Linked DNA regions of Diceros bicornis minor. The protein of the gene in region 1 binds, or shares a complex with, the protein of each later gene. Links are inferred from orthologs where the notes say so. Each region holds a gene or a part of one and is shown on either strand. Other genes may lie near its edges. The genes, in order: SF3B5, PPIL2 and SF3A2.

Evidence for each region.
Region 2: SF3B5 (region 1) and PPIL2 share a complex: the UniProt entries of both Homo sapiens proteins name them as parts of the minor spliceosome. The link is inferred for Diceros bicornis minor from reciprocal best matches to the Homo sapiens genes SF3B5 and PPIL2.
Region 3: SF3B5 (region 1) and SF3A2 share a complex: the UniProt entries of both Homo sapiens proteins name them as parts of the 17S U2 SnRNP complex. The link is inferred for Diceros bicornis minor from reciprocal best matches to the Homo sapiens genes SF3B5 and SF3A2.

The regions. Positions count from the first base shown.
Region 1 is NC_080778.1:23,304,738-23,308,626, forward strand, and holds SF3B5 (splicing factor 3B subunit 5), read right to left. Parts: upstream 1,772-3,889; 5' UTR 1,694-1,771; coding exon 1,433-1,693; 3' UTR 1,077-1,432; downstream 1-1,076. UniProt on the Homo sapiens protein: Component of the 17S U2 SnRNP complex of the spliceosome, a large ribonucleoprotein complex that removes introns from transcribed pre-mRNAs.
Region 2 is NC_080774.1:30,153,777-30,158,577, reverse strand, and holds the start of PPIL2 (RING-type E3 ubiquitin-protein ligase PPIL2), read right to left. Parts: upstream 3,312-4,801; 5' UTR 3,160-3,311; intron 1,045-3,159; 5' UTR 917-1,044; coding exon 833-916; intron 142-832; coding exon 44-141; intron 1-43. UniProt on the Homo sapiens protein: Has a ubiquitin-protein ligase activity acting as an E3 ubiquitin protein ligase or as an ubiquitin-ubiquitin ligase promoting elongation of ubiquitin chains on substrates.
Region 3 is NW_026691553.1:1,553,715-1,558,515, reverse strand, and holds the start of SF3A2 (splicing factor 3A subunit 2), read right to left. Parts: upstream 3,175-4,801; 5' UTR 3,085-3,174; intron 1-3,084. Other genes in the region: PLEKHJ1 (pleckstrin homology domain-containing family J member 1), read left to right, coding at 3,718-3,811, 3,915-3,982, 4,075-4,141. UniProt on the Homo sapiens protein: Component of the 17S U2 SnRNP complex of the spliceosome, a large ribonucleoprotein complex that removes introns from transcribed pre-mRNAs.

The DNA.
Region 1 (3,889 bases):
CTTTGCTTCAGCAGCCTGGGGTTCGTGGGTTCAGACCCTGGGTGCAGACCTGCACACCACTTACCAAGCCATGCTGTGGCAGGTGTCCACACATGAAGTAGAGGAAGATGGGCACGGATGTTAGCCCAGGGCCAATCTTCCTCAGCAAAAAGCAGAGGATTGGTAATAGATGTTAGCTCAGGGCGAATCTTCCTCAGCAAAAAAAAATCTTCCAATGGCTCCCCATCTCTCTCAGGGTAAGAGCCACAAGTCCTGACATTGGCCTACCAGGCTCTACTCTCATCCACTCCCCCTCCATCACCTGTCCCTCTGCTCTTCTCCTTGCTCAACCTCTCCACATATTTGCCTCTTTGCTGTTCCTCCAATAAGCCAGACACAAGCCCAGCTTTAGGACCATCGCCCTGGCAGTTCCTTCTGCCTGGAAAGCAATTTCCCCACTTTTCTGCATGGCTACTTCCCTCACTTCCTTAAGGCCTTTGCTCAAATGTCACCATCTCAACGGTCTAACATGAGCATCTTATCTAAAATTGCAACTCTGCCGCTACTCCCATCCTCCACAGCACCTTCTAACATTTGCTTATTTACATCTACAGTTTGTGTGCCCCCCCTCCCCTCCCCCCACCGCCAGTATAATGTAAACCCCCAAAGTGTGGAAAAATGCCTGCCACATAGAGCTCGACAAGTATTTGTTGAATGTTGAATGAATGAGAAAACTCGTTTGACAGCTTGTTATTTCTCAACACACGCCCAGAGAGTCCCAAGAGTAGAGAGGATGCAATTTACAGAGAGAGTAGAGGGCAATGACCGTAAAGATTTTTTGAACAAGAGAACAAAAAGGTGTGATGCAATGATCACAAACCTCAATACTGAAAGCACTACCGGACTGAAAAAGGCTCTTGGGAGAAGTCGGCGGGTGGGGGGCATATGATAAAAGTTGTCCAGGGCGGATTTAAGCGCCTGGCAATGTACCCTGGCCCCGCGCCCACCCCCACCCCCACCCCACCCTCTCACGAAACCACAGTCCCCAAAACCCTCCCTGGACCCCTCCACCCGATCACAAGTAGTCCACACCAAGAGACCGAAAAACTTCTAAACTTTATGGAAAAGGCAACAACGACAATCAACCGGCCAAAAACGAGCCTCCGAACGCCGTCTCGCTGCAGTGCCGTGTCCCCTTAACGCTGGCTGGCGTTGGGATCTCTCCAGGGTCGCGGTCCCCAGGGGTCCTGACGGTCGCCCAACGCCCTGTTCCGAGGCGTCCAGAGGAAGGCAGGTCGGGCGAGACGCCGCGGGTGAGCGCCTCTGCACCGGGAAAGCACGGGGAGCAGCAGCCACGGAGAACCGGTCGCCCCGGGGCGGGAACGCGGGGAGCCACGGCACACGGGAGGGACGCGGGGAGCCACGCTCCGCCCGGCGGGGACCCGGCGGGGTCTCAGTTCTCCTCGGGCTTGTCGGCCGGCGGCCCGCAGGGCTGCAGCATCTTCTCCATCAGGTTGAAGCGGACTCGCGCTTTGCTCTCGTTCTCCGCAATGGCGAAGTAGTTGAGAAGGTCGAAGTGGCCCATGTAAGAGCAGTAGGAGTCGCGGTGCTGGTTCACCAGCCACTCCCACTTGGTGGTGTCGGCGTGGCCCGTGCCGATGTACTTGGACTGCAGGTGCTCCAGCTGGCTGTGGATGGTGTAGCGGTCCGTCATCTCGCCGCCTTCCCGCTGGATCCCAGGCAGAAACCGCGGCGGGCAATGGCTGCTCTAGCGTTTCACGCCGGAAAATGAACACCCCACCGGACCTCTAGGACTGCGCCGTCGCAGGCGAATGGCGTCACAACGACGGAGCCGCGGGGACTCGCGGTCCTAGGGCTCAGAGGCGGAAGCGGAAGCGTATTCCGTCCCGGATTGGAGTTGCCTAGGCGACGCTACAAGTCGGGCCGCCCCTACAGAGAGCCCGCCCCCTTCGTAGAGCGTTGCATGATGGTCCATTTAGCGGCGCTTTTCCTAACCGGGAGCTTTGCATGCTGGGACTTGTAGTCTCCCAGGGTTCGTGCGCGCGGGCTTTTGGGACCCATCGCCTTGGTTTAGGAGGCTGTGGGCGGTCTGATGGAGGGTGGTGTCTTGGTGGCGGGGAGCATCTTTGGGCGGTTTGGGGCTGCGAGGAAGTAGGACATTCAAGTAGGACAGGGCTACAAGCGACTGGGAAGATGAAGTCTTGGTGTAATTCTGCTTTTGGAGCTAACGTGACAGCACGGTAGCCCCTTCACGACCAGGTGAAATCAGGAGACGCGGGTTCTGGTCCCAGCTGTGTTGTTTAGAAGTTGTGTGGAGTGCAAGTCAATTCAGCGCTAGCAGGGCCGCCGTTTCCCGCCCGGTGACCCGTTACGACGCGTTCTGGCCCTCACATCGGGGTCCCCCTTCCTTATTTTGACACCCTCCCTCTGACTCCCCACCTCGCCCTACACGCCCCCACCTGCGCTTCTCCGTGTTCCGTGCTGCTCGCCTCTCCCGTTCTTGGTACAAGCTGTTCCCTCTGCTTGGAATGTCTTTGTTCCCTTGGCAAACACTCTTCCCTTGAAGTCAGCTCGAAAGCATCTCCTTGAAATTGGCTTTGGCCACTCCACACGTGTAAATTCTCCTTCCTCTTTGCATCTTGGACGCTTCGTTATTACCGCTTTATATCCTAATTTTTGGTTTAAGGACTTCCTCACGCGAACGCAGACTGCTTGAGGAAAGGAGTTGACTTTTTTGGTGGCATCTTTTCTCGTATGCTTCTTTGATGGTATCTGTTTAGGGTATCCTCATAGCCTGGCAGAGATTACGTTCTTAAAAAACGTTTGATGAACGGATAAACAGCTGTATTAGAGCCAAATAGAAGAAACTCGTTATTGGGAGAAAGACAACTTTAAAATATTTTTTATTGTGGTACAAAGTTGCAGTTATGTAGGATGGCTAAGTCTAGAGACCAAATAGCACGATGACTATAGTTAATGCTATGTTGAATACTGGAAATTTCTTTAGAACGTAGATTTCAGGTGCTCTCACCACATACACACACAAGAAGGTAACTATGTGAGGCAATGGATATGTTAATTAGCTTGACTGTAGTAATCCTTTTTTTTTAAATAATTTTATTTATTTTTTCCCCAAAACCCCAGTAGATAGCTGTATGTCATAGTTGCACACCCTTCCAGTTGCTGTATGTGGGACGTGGTCTCAGCATGGCCGGAGAAGCCGTCCGTAGGTGCGCGCCCAGGATCTGAACCTGGGCCAGCAGTAGCGGAGCGTGCGCACTTAACCACTAAGCCACGGGGCTGGCCCATGTAGTAATCCTTTCACTATATCAAATCATCATGTTGTACACCTTAAATATATGCAATTTTTATTTAAAAGAAATTAAAGAAAACGACAAAATGTTCCTTATAGGATCAAATGCTTGTACCAAAAATGAAAAAAAAACAAACGTTTTATTCTTTGGTTTAACCTTTGTTATAACAAACATGTCATTCCTAAAATGTAGAGACTATTATAAGGCATACTCGTGGACTCACCATCTAGATATATCAAACCTTGCCATTTTGCCACTTTTGTTTCCATCTTTGTTCTTTTGTTTTGGCTGTGTTTTTTTAAGAAATAAGACTATACAAATAAACTTGAAGTTCTCTGTGTTCCCCTCCCTAATCTGTTCACTTCAGGGTACTATCTTGAATTTACAGTTAATCATTCCTGAGCCTCTTTTTTTTTTTGAATGCTGAAAGTTTGTGTATCCATCAACAGTAAGTATTATTGTTATGCATATTTTAAAGCTTTATATAAATGATACCCGGTATGTATGTTATGTAAGTTGCATTTTATCATAGTCAGTATCCATGTTGATATATGTAGCTTTAGTTAACTTTTACT
Region 2 (4,801 bases), on another chromosome or scaffold:
CTGGCACACAACAGGCTCCCCTAAATGCTCCTGTTTCATTTACCTCAAGCCTAGAATAAATTCCTTCCACCTCCTTGGGTTTGATGATAGGCCAGTGCAGTTGAATTTCACTTCAGACTTTGAAACTTCCAATTTCTCCATCTGCAAGAAACAAAAGAAATCTCAGGACAAGTTTGGGGGCCTCACCGTGAAGAAAAACACCTTACACAAGAACTCTGAGAACTATGTGACTTTCATTCAATCAGCAAATACGTCAGGCTCATCCTCAGTGTCCACCCTGAGGTTGGTGTTAGGGGGACAAGGGACGGGATGGGAGCTGGGAGCTGACCGAAGAGGTCCTAACCCAGCCTGGGGGCTGGGGCGCTGCCTGCAGTGAGAGTGTAGAATAAGCAGGAGTCAGGAGGGGCAGGTGGTTCGGAAGGGCATTAGGGAGGCACTTAGAGGTGGCATGGAGAATGACATCCACAGGGAGAGGTGGGTGTGGGGCTAAGGGTGTGGGACTGGAGACATGGGGGGCATGGTTCTCTACCTGTATGTTGGGAGCCCCAGGATTCTGCCCGGTACGCTTGGGGCTACCTTGCTCGGCTGAGGCCAAGCAGGTGGAGCTGTGCCTTCAACCCCACCCCAATTCTCCAACCAGAGCAGCCCCCTCCTATCTGCTTTATCTGGTGCAGTTCCACTCAAGACTCAACCCTGCAGAGCGTTCTCCTGCTTAAAACAAAGTTCTGAGAGCCACTGTTGTGGGTGTGGGAGAGCTGCTGGGGTGGTTCTGAGCAGAGGGCAGAGGCGGTCCCTCCCAGGGCCGCACAGAGTGGGGGATGTGCCCACTGACCAACCTGCAGGGCAGCGGATTGTAAGGACCAAAAACCCTGGGCATAGTGCAGACAGAAGGCGATGGAGCCACCTCGGAGGCCATGGTGGTGGCAGGTGGTGGCAGTGGCAGAGGTGGCACCAGGGTTGGTGGCAGACACAGGGAGGTTGACCGGTGCCTCAAGAGAATGGGTTCTGGTTTTTTCAACTTCCGCTTCCTCCTCTTCTTGGCATCTGTGACAAAAGGTGCCAATGAGTGCCTACTCCATGGCCAGAATAGGATAGAGTGCGGGCCAAACACAGTGGTGTGGGGTCTTCACACAGTCCCTCCAACAAGGAAGAGAGGTAGGCCCCCGCCAAAGGGCACCACATAACAATGCTTGGAGCCGCTGTCGATGGGCGCCAACAAGCATCACCTCACCGAGCCCACAACTATCCCACGGGGAAAGGGTACTTTTGTTTCTATCTTACAAGCGGGACCGGAAGCTCTAACTGTACAAGACACACACAGGATCCATGCCTGGGCTGTCTGACTTCAAGGCCAGAATTTCATAGGAAGTGACAGAGTGTCACAGCCATCGAGGGCTGGGCTTGGCCCAGGCAGGTTGGTCTGCTACCCAACCCCCCAAGCATCACGGAAAGCTCCTGAGTCTGCCAGCACCCTCATGGAGCATCCAGGCCCTAGACAGAGAGCGCACTGACTACACCCAGCCCCAGGGCCATCCTGGGGGTGTGCAAAGGGCCCTTCCTCTATTAGGAAACCCACATGAACTAGGTCTTGCAGAGGTGGGCTCAGGGAGGGAATCTTTGAGGGGCAGAACTCTTGAGTGAGCCCCCTCTCTTCCCTCCGTGTTAGGTCTCCCTCCTGGATTTGACGAGTCTGGCTATTTCTACTGTTCAAAGTTGGAGACTACCAGCAAAGTGGGTGTTAACAAGCTCCTCATACAGCCCATCAGAGTGGCTCACCTAGAGTGACAATCACCACCACCAGGGAGCACTGGCCTAAGAGACTGCGCCTTGGAGCACCCAGACCTGAGTTCAAGTCCAGACTCTCCTACTTACTATGTGACCTTGCACGTTGGCCAACCTCCCTGGGCCTCTATTTCCTCTTCTACAAAACAAGGATAAATAACACTAATGCTACCTCGGGTAAGAGCTACGTGTGCTGTAGGACCAGCCGTCAGATGAAATGGTGACGTGGAGCACTCACACCCAGCATCACAGAAAGGGGGACCCCCAAGTAAGCTGGGCCTCCCAATGGGATGGAGAAGAAAGTAGCCCCAGGACTGCTGTGGTCTATCACTGAACCTGAATCAGATCAAGGCTTCAGAGCCACTGTCTGAGAAATACAGGCAGAGGGGAGCAAAGCAAACACCACCAGTGGACTATGACAGCAGATCTAAACCCATGAAGTGGGATACCCCGAAGGACAACACAGATCTTTGAGTCAGTGGCATGAGAGGGAAAGTAAGGGTATCTCACTTCAAAGGGACTTCCACAGACCTGGCCACAGATCCTTGTTTGCCATCCCTGTGTGGTCACTAACATGGCCCCCTTGCATTTCACTCTTACAAGTGCCCCGATGTGGACACAAATTATATGGTCACCCTAGTGAGAAAGAACCTAAGAGGCCTAACATGAACACAGCATGTGGGCCTTGTTGGGTCCTGACACGACAGACCAAGTGTAGAAAGATTTTTGTGGACCATCCAGGAGTTCTGACTATGGACTAAGTAAGTATCAGCTAATATTAGGGAATTGTTGTCAATTATATCAGCAGTAATATCGTGATTTATGTCAGAAACTGTCTTTTTTTTATTAAGAAGCATTCTAAAGTATTCAGGAGGGCCGGCCCTGTGGCTTAGCAATTAAGTGCGTGCCCTCCGCTGCTGGCGGCCCAGGTTGGGATCCCGGGGGCGGACCAACGCACCGCTTCTCCAGCCACGCTGAGGCGGCGTCCCACATAGAGCAACTAGAAGGATGTGCAGCTATGACATACAACTATCTACTGGGGCTTTGGGGGAAAAATAAATACATAAATAAAATTATAAATAAATAAAGTATTCAGGAATACAATGATGTCTGAGATTTCCCTTAAAATGCTCCAGAAAAAGAAAAAGGGGATCTAGAGAATGAAACAAGCACGGTGAGATGGGGACAGCCGCTGATGCTGGGTGAAGGGTACTCGCGTGTTTACTGCAGTCTCTAGTTTTGTGTATGTTCATTTTCATAATAGACTTTTAAAATAAACACCAAATTTAGAAAAAAGTGCCAACCACAGGACCAGGGACAAGGGGCCCTGAGTCAGGTTTGCTGGGTTGCTGGAGCCAGACACAGGGTGGGCCTCACCCTGGGAGTAGAGGTGCGCGCGGTAGATGCTCCTCCTCAGCTGCTCCAGGCGCCGATGTATCTCCCCGGCGCCCACGCAGTTGCAGTAGTTCAGCTCCCCCTGGACAGCACAGAACTTCCCTGCGACAGCAGCGGGAGGACGCCAGACGGGTGAGACGCCTGCCCGCTGCACTCCCCAAGCTGGGCCGCCTCAGGCTTCTGGGAGACCCTACCCTGCAGCTCCAGGAAGGCCCGACGGCCCCCCCCACCCCCAATCTCCGCCCTACAGGGCAGGAGCGGGAGTGATGACAGCACCCGCCCCCTGGTCCCCCCTCCCCGCAGCCCGCCCGCCGGCCCGCACCCAGAGGAAGGAGAGGAGCCCGCGCCGCTCGCACTCGGCCTGCTTGCCCTTGCGCACCACTCGCTCGGCCAGCTTCGGGTTGCGGTCGATGCTGCGGAAGAGGCGGCGCAGCGCGCGCTTGGTGTAGGTCGTCGCCTGTCTCTCGAAGTCCTCCTCGGAGATGCGCTGGCAGAAGGTCACGCTCGGGGGCATCTCGCTGTCGAACTCGTCCAGGACCTCCATCTGAGAGGGCCCGTCCGGGCGGGGACCGCGGAGACGTACCAGCTCTCCATCCAACCGCCGCCGGCCCCCTCTGCGATCAACCGCTCCAGCCAATCCCCCCTAGATCGCGGGCGGGGCCCTTCCCTGCCAGACGGCCGCACGTGACAATGCCCCCTCTCTGGGCATGCGCTGTCGCGCCTTCGACGGGGCGAACGCAGCTGCGCTCGGCGGAGGCCCTATCGCGCTAGGATCCGGCAGAGCTTTGATCAGGGCCGGCCAACGGCCACGCCAAGAACACGGTCCGCACCCCAACTCTTCCAACTTCTTTAAGGCCCTCACCCCTCGGCCAGCCTCCAGTCCCTTCCGCTTCTGGCTGCTTCCCCTCTTCACCGTGTGTAGACAGCACCCCAAGCACTTCACTCTGCCCCTAACTCCTCTATCCCTGGACTCTACCCTCTTCCTCTCCTGACTCACTTCCCAGCATCAACCCCCCGGCCCCCTCCAGCTTCTACCCTCTCTCCTCCCCTTCATAACCACTTCTTTGCTCCATACTCGCTGTGGCCTCTTCACTGGCGTCTCCAGCGGCTCCTTATGCGTTTCAAAAGGTCCTGTCTTCACCCTACCATCTTGATCAATCTTCCCTACTTCTTGGTCCCAACCCAGAGCTGACTTAACTAACCCTAACCTGAGTCTCAGGCTCAGACCTCACTTGAGCTCCAGACCCACATCTGAGTGTCCTAAAGGGACGTTTCTGGGGCGTTCATGCTGAACACATCCAGATTGGCACACCCCAAAACCTTCCCTCCAACCCCAAAACCTGCTTCTCTTCACCCTCTCCTACTTGGTCAGCACTGACACCACCACCCACTCTGCCACTAATGAAGGAGGTGCACCCTGGACTGCTCGCTCCTGTCCCCTCCACCCCCCCATCAGCCCTGAGATACATGGAGTGTTCCTGAGAAGTCTAAGGAGATTTTTCACTTCCCTCCGCCAAACCACCAGCCGGCTAGCCTCAGCTCTCCCCAACAGAGGAGGTGGCACTCACTTTTTCCTGCTTTGAGGTCAGAGAGCACGGTGGGGACAACCAAGGAGAAAGAAGGC
Region 3 (4,801 bases), on another chromosome or scaffold:
CAAGCACGGCCCGGAGGAACCCTCCTGCCTGGCCATATCGATGAGCCCAGGGAGCCCGCACCCGTCACCTACAGGGGCTGCCAGCCAGTTGGCCCTGAACTCAGTGATTCTGTGGCCAGATCCGAGTGCAGGCCCCTCAGGGGAGGCCGTGCCGTCTGTCCAGCAGCTCACGGGCTGAGCACTGCCCACCCCCGAGGGGCAAAACCCCACCCTCCCTGCTGGCCTCGGGACGGGAAGCTGGCACAGGGGGAGTGCATGTGAGAGCCGAGAGGCACTACCTGCCCTCTAGCCTCTACCCAGAGCGTGAATCCGGGGGCCCGGAGCCGGCTCCCTCCGGTGAGTGACTTGCAGGCCTCCCCTGCAGATTCCCAGGGCCGGGAGAGGACGGCGCTTCCCCAAACACTGAGGACGGGGGCCTCTGAGGCTGGGAGTGTGCTCTGACTAACTCAGCAGCCAGCTGGCAGGTACAGGAAAGGTGCCCAACGTCACGAACCATCAGGGCAACACGAGTGAAAACTGCAGTGAGACACCACCCTACACAGTCAGGACGGCTGTCATCACACCAACCAACCAACGACAACGAGTGTTCTCGGAACGAGGGCAGGAGCTCAGAGGGACCCGCGGCACCACTGCGGGGGCCGGGACAGAGAGCCACCTGTCTGCTGATGTCCTGTTCCTGTCATGCGTTAGTGACACCTTCAGAACATTCTCCTGGAACAATGGCTGGGAGGAGCTGGAAAAGTGAGTTGGAAGGCAACAAGGTTAACCAAGCCAACAGCTCCGATCCGTTTGAGGATGAGCCCAACTCCTTCCTAAGCGGCCAGACTGGGCTCCTCAGTCCCGGAGGCTGGCCGGGAAATGCGCATGGGGGCCAGGGGTCGCAGAAAGCACCTGCTGAGAGAAGCTGATGGGCTCAGGAAACCCAAACAAATCCGTAACCGCTCACCAAATGAGAGTGAAAACCAGTAACCATCGGAAACTGAAAGTGCTGGTTACTCACAGCTCCCTGAACACACGCTACCCCCCCCCGCCCCCCCCCCCCCCGCAACTGAAATGAGAGTCTCTGCCATGAGAGAAAGGTCACAGACCCAGGCACCCTCGACTCCCTGGGCAGGGCAGTTTTATTCTTAGAAGAATTGGAATGAAGGGCCTCCTGGCTTAGAGATGTGGACACAGTGGGACAAGAGAGCTGGGGGAGCGCCAGGCTGAAAAGAGGGGATTCCATCAAAACCCGCCCACGGAACAGCAGCTCCCCCACACCAGGTCCAGACAGCGGGAGGCCCAGCCCGGAGCCCCCAGCCCAGGGGACAGCAGGAGTCTCTTCTGGGGAAAGAGTGCCAGAGAAAGCATTCTCAGACACTGACAGCTAGGGTCCCCCACGCCCCAAAGAAAACACCAGCTCCCCACCGGGCCCACGGAGCAGGGAGACTCCCTAGGTGAGAAACTGGGCTCTACCCGCAGAGCGGGCAACTTGACAATACAGACACGAAGGATCGCTGTGTCGCCAAGAAAGCAGAAACCTGATGAAATCTCAATAGGAAACGTTAACGTTCTCCTGAACTGTCCGGGAAGTTATCTACTGCACCGTGACCCTAGAACAGGATGCCAAAGGTTAGCAAGGCGAAGCAAAACCAGAATGAATCCTTGGACAGTAAAGACCGGATGATCCCCCCAAAAAATGGAACACGGGGCTCAGAGATAAGAATTAAAAAAATATTTCCTAAGGGAGAACCAAATAATGAAAAAACAGGAGACAGAACAAGAACCTAGATGAAATTCCAGAAGAAGAACAGAAAGAAGCATGGAGAGTGTTATCACACAGAGAACATGAGAATGTGTTCAAAGAAACGAAAAAACCCAGGACTGAAAGGACCTAATTCTTCCAAGGAAACAGACCCACCCAGGTCAACAAATAAACAGATCCTCAATAAACAGATCAGGAAACTTCACAACAGCAAGGAAAACCCTTAAGTTTCTACGACACAGAAACAAAGCTAGAAATAAAAGTTCAGAAGCCCGAATGGGACCAGACCTCTCAGTAAGGCAGGCAACGCTTTCCACAATTCTCCACACGGATTTTCAATCTAGAATTTTATACCCGAACTTCTAACTCTGAGAATACATAAAGCCATTTTCAGATAACCAAGAACTCAAATCAGTCAACGGATTTCTTAAAAGCTACCAAGACATGCTCTTCACAACTGCGCAAAAATACGTGTGCGCGGTGTTGGAGTTTTGAAAGAAAAATTATTAAAAAATTAATGAGTTTTTGGGGAAAAACAGAACAAGGAAAATGACACAGATGAACATCTTAATATTTTCGGTTTTAAAATACAGGACTAATGATTTCGCTAAAGCTCAGGCTCTATAAACACGTTCAAGGGATGGAAGGCGACGTTGGAGCGAGTGGGTGGGAGGCAGAAATAATCTCATCAATCACGGTAGAAAGTCAGCAGGTCACGTCTAAAACCGACACACTCAGAAAAAATTAAGTTTTTTACAAAGATTAAGGCCAAGCATCCAGAATTCTAAAGGCGTGGCCTCTGGGGAGGGACCAGGGAACAGGGATGAATGACAGTTCTTGATGAGCACGCTACTATCCCCGTAAACCTGCCCAACAGAACACTTTCGGCGGCTCCTCTCGGGGGTTCTGCGCGGCCAAAGGGAAGAAGGAGGAAGCGGGCATCCGAGTCATTTAAGCTCGGGCTTCGCTCGCCAAACGGGGCGGGCTCACGGTCTCCGGTCGCCCCCGACGCGGGGCTGGGCACTCTGCCCCCAAACCTCGCTTATTCCTCAGCTGGCCTGGAGCGGGGACCGCCGCGCCCCCGATCCCACAGTTACGGGAACTGGAGCTCCCAGGGCCCACGGGCCTCTGGAGGGAGAGCTCCGACGGGCAGGGGGCGCCCGGGACGCTGAGGCCCCACATCCCCGGGCACGGGCCGCCGCGGCCGCTCGGCCCTCAACCCGCGCCCCCCCGCCGCAGGCCCGCCTCGCCCACGTCCGCTCCCCTCCAGGGAACCCCGGGCCCCGGGGCCGCCGCCCTCGCCCCGCGCCGCTCCTTACCCGCACCCGACAACGAGATACCGTTGTCTTTTCAGCCGCCGCGGGGGCCGCCACGACTTCGTCCTGCGCACGCGCGCCAAGGGCTAAGGAAGCACTTCCGGGGGCAAACGGAGCAGGGCCTCCCGTGTGCGCATGCCCGATCCGCCGGCGACGTGGGCGGGACGCTCTGGAGGCGCGAGGGGAAAAGGGCGGGGCTGAGAGTGCGGGCCGGTTCCCGAAGTGCGCGTGCGCACCAGGCTCTCGACGCCCTCTGGGTCGCCTCTAATTCCCGCGAGGCCAGTTCTCGCGGGAGGAAGGGCTGCGACTCGCCCAACATCTGCCTTCTCCTGTCCGCTTCAGTAAAGGGTGCCAGCAGTCGTGGGGGTGCTTTATTCTGTTGCCACGCGGGCCTAGCTTACTTCATGGTTATATATAACGACGGTGCGTCTCACCCACTATCCCGTGCGGCCCACGACGGCTTCGCTCGGCCGCGGTGGGCCGGGTGACGTCAGGGCCACGCACCGATGATTGACAGGATAAGCGGCCCGGGGGCGCGCAGACGCAGTAGCTCCGGGAGCGCTTCCGGGACGGCGCCGTGGGACTTTTCTGGCGCGAGCGGGGACGGCGGCCGAGAGGGCGCAGCCTGGGCTCCGCGTCCTGGGTCCCAGCGGCGCCATGCGCTTCAACGAGAAGGAGCTGCAGGCGCTGTCCCGGCAGCCGGCCGAGCTGGCGGCCGAGCTGGGCATGCGGGGCCCCAAGAAGGGCAGCGGTGAGCGGGCCGGGGCGCCGGGGCGGGCGGGCCGGGCGGGCCGGGGCGGGGAGGCCGGCCGCTGAGCCCGCCGAGTCCGCGCGAGCCCGCCCTGTGCCCGCAGTGGTGAAGCGGCGGCTGGTGAAGCTGGTGGTCAATTTCCTTTTCTACTTCCGGACGGATGAGGCCGAGGTAGGGCGGCGGGGGGGGGAGCTGGGGAGGGGAGGGGAGGGATCCGGGTCGGGCTCCCCGCAGTCTGCCCCCATCGCCGCGTCTGCCCCCAGCCCGTCGGAGCCCTGCTGCTGGAGCACTGCAGAGTCGCCCAGGAAGAGCCCAGCGGCTTCTCCATCAGTGAGTGTCCATCACTGAGTGCGGGGGGGCGGGGACGAGGCCCGCCGAGACCCAGCTCCGCCCGGCCGCGCCCCAGAAACAAAGTCCGCCGGGCCCGCCGGGCGCCTCCCCTGCGCTCCTCCCCTGGGGTCCCAGGCTGGGCACACCTGTCCCAGCCACTTCCGAGCTGCCACCCCGAACGCCACCTCTTGTTGGGGACCAGTGCCCTCTCGGGGTGCCCGGTCCTCTGCTGGGGGCCCCGGAGGATTACTTCTGGGCTCTCTGGAGAGGGTGTGGAGTATGCAGGGGAAGATGGAGCCTCTGCTAGTTTCCGGGGGCTGCCTTAACGAAGTGCCACAGGTTGGGGGGCTTAAACAGCAGAAATTCACTTTTTCGGTTTTGGAGAGCGGAAGTCCGAGATCGGGTTGTCGGCAGGCAGGATTCTTACAAGGGAGAAATCTGTCCCATGTTGTCTTAGTTTCTGGGGGTCGCTGGCAGTTTTGGCATCCCTTGGCTAGTAGGAGCATCACCTCGTCTCTGCCTCCATCTTTTGTGGCCTTTTCCCCTGTTTATGTCTGAATGTCCAGTTTTTATAAGGACACCAGTCCTGTTGGATTAGAATCCACCGCACTCCAGTGTGGCCTCGTCTTAGCTAATTATACTTGCGACCACCACCTATCC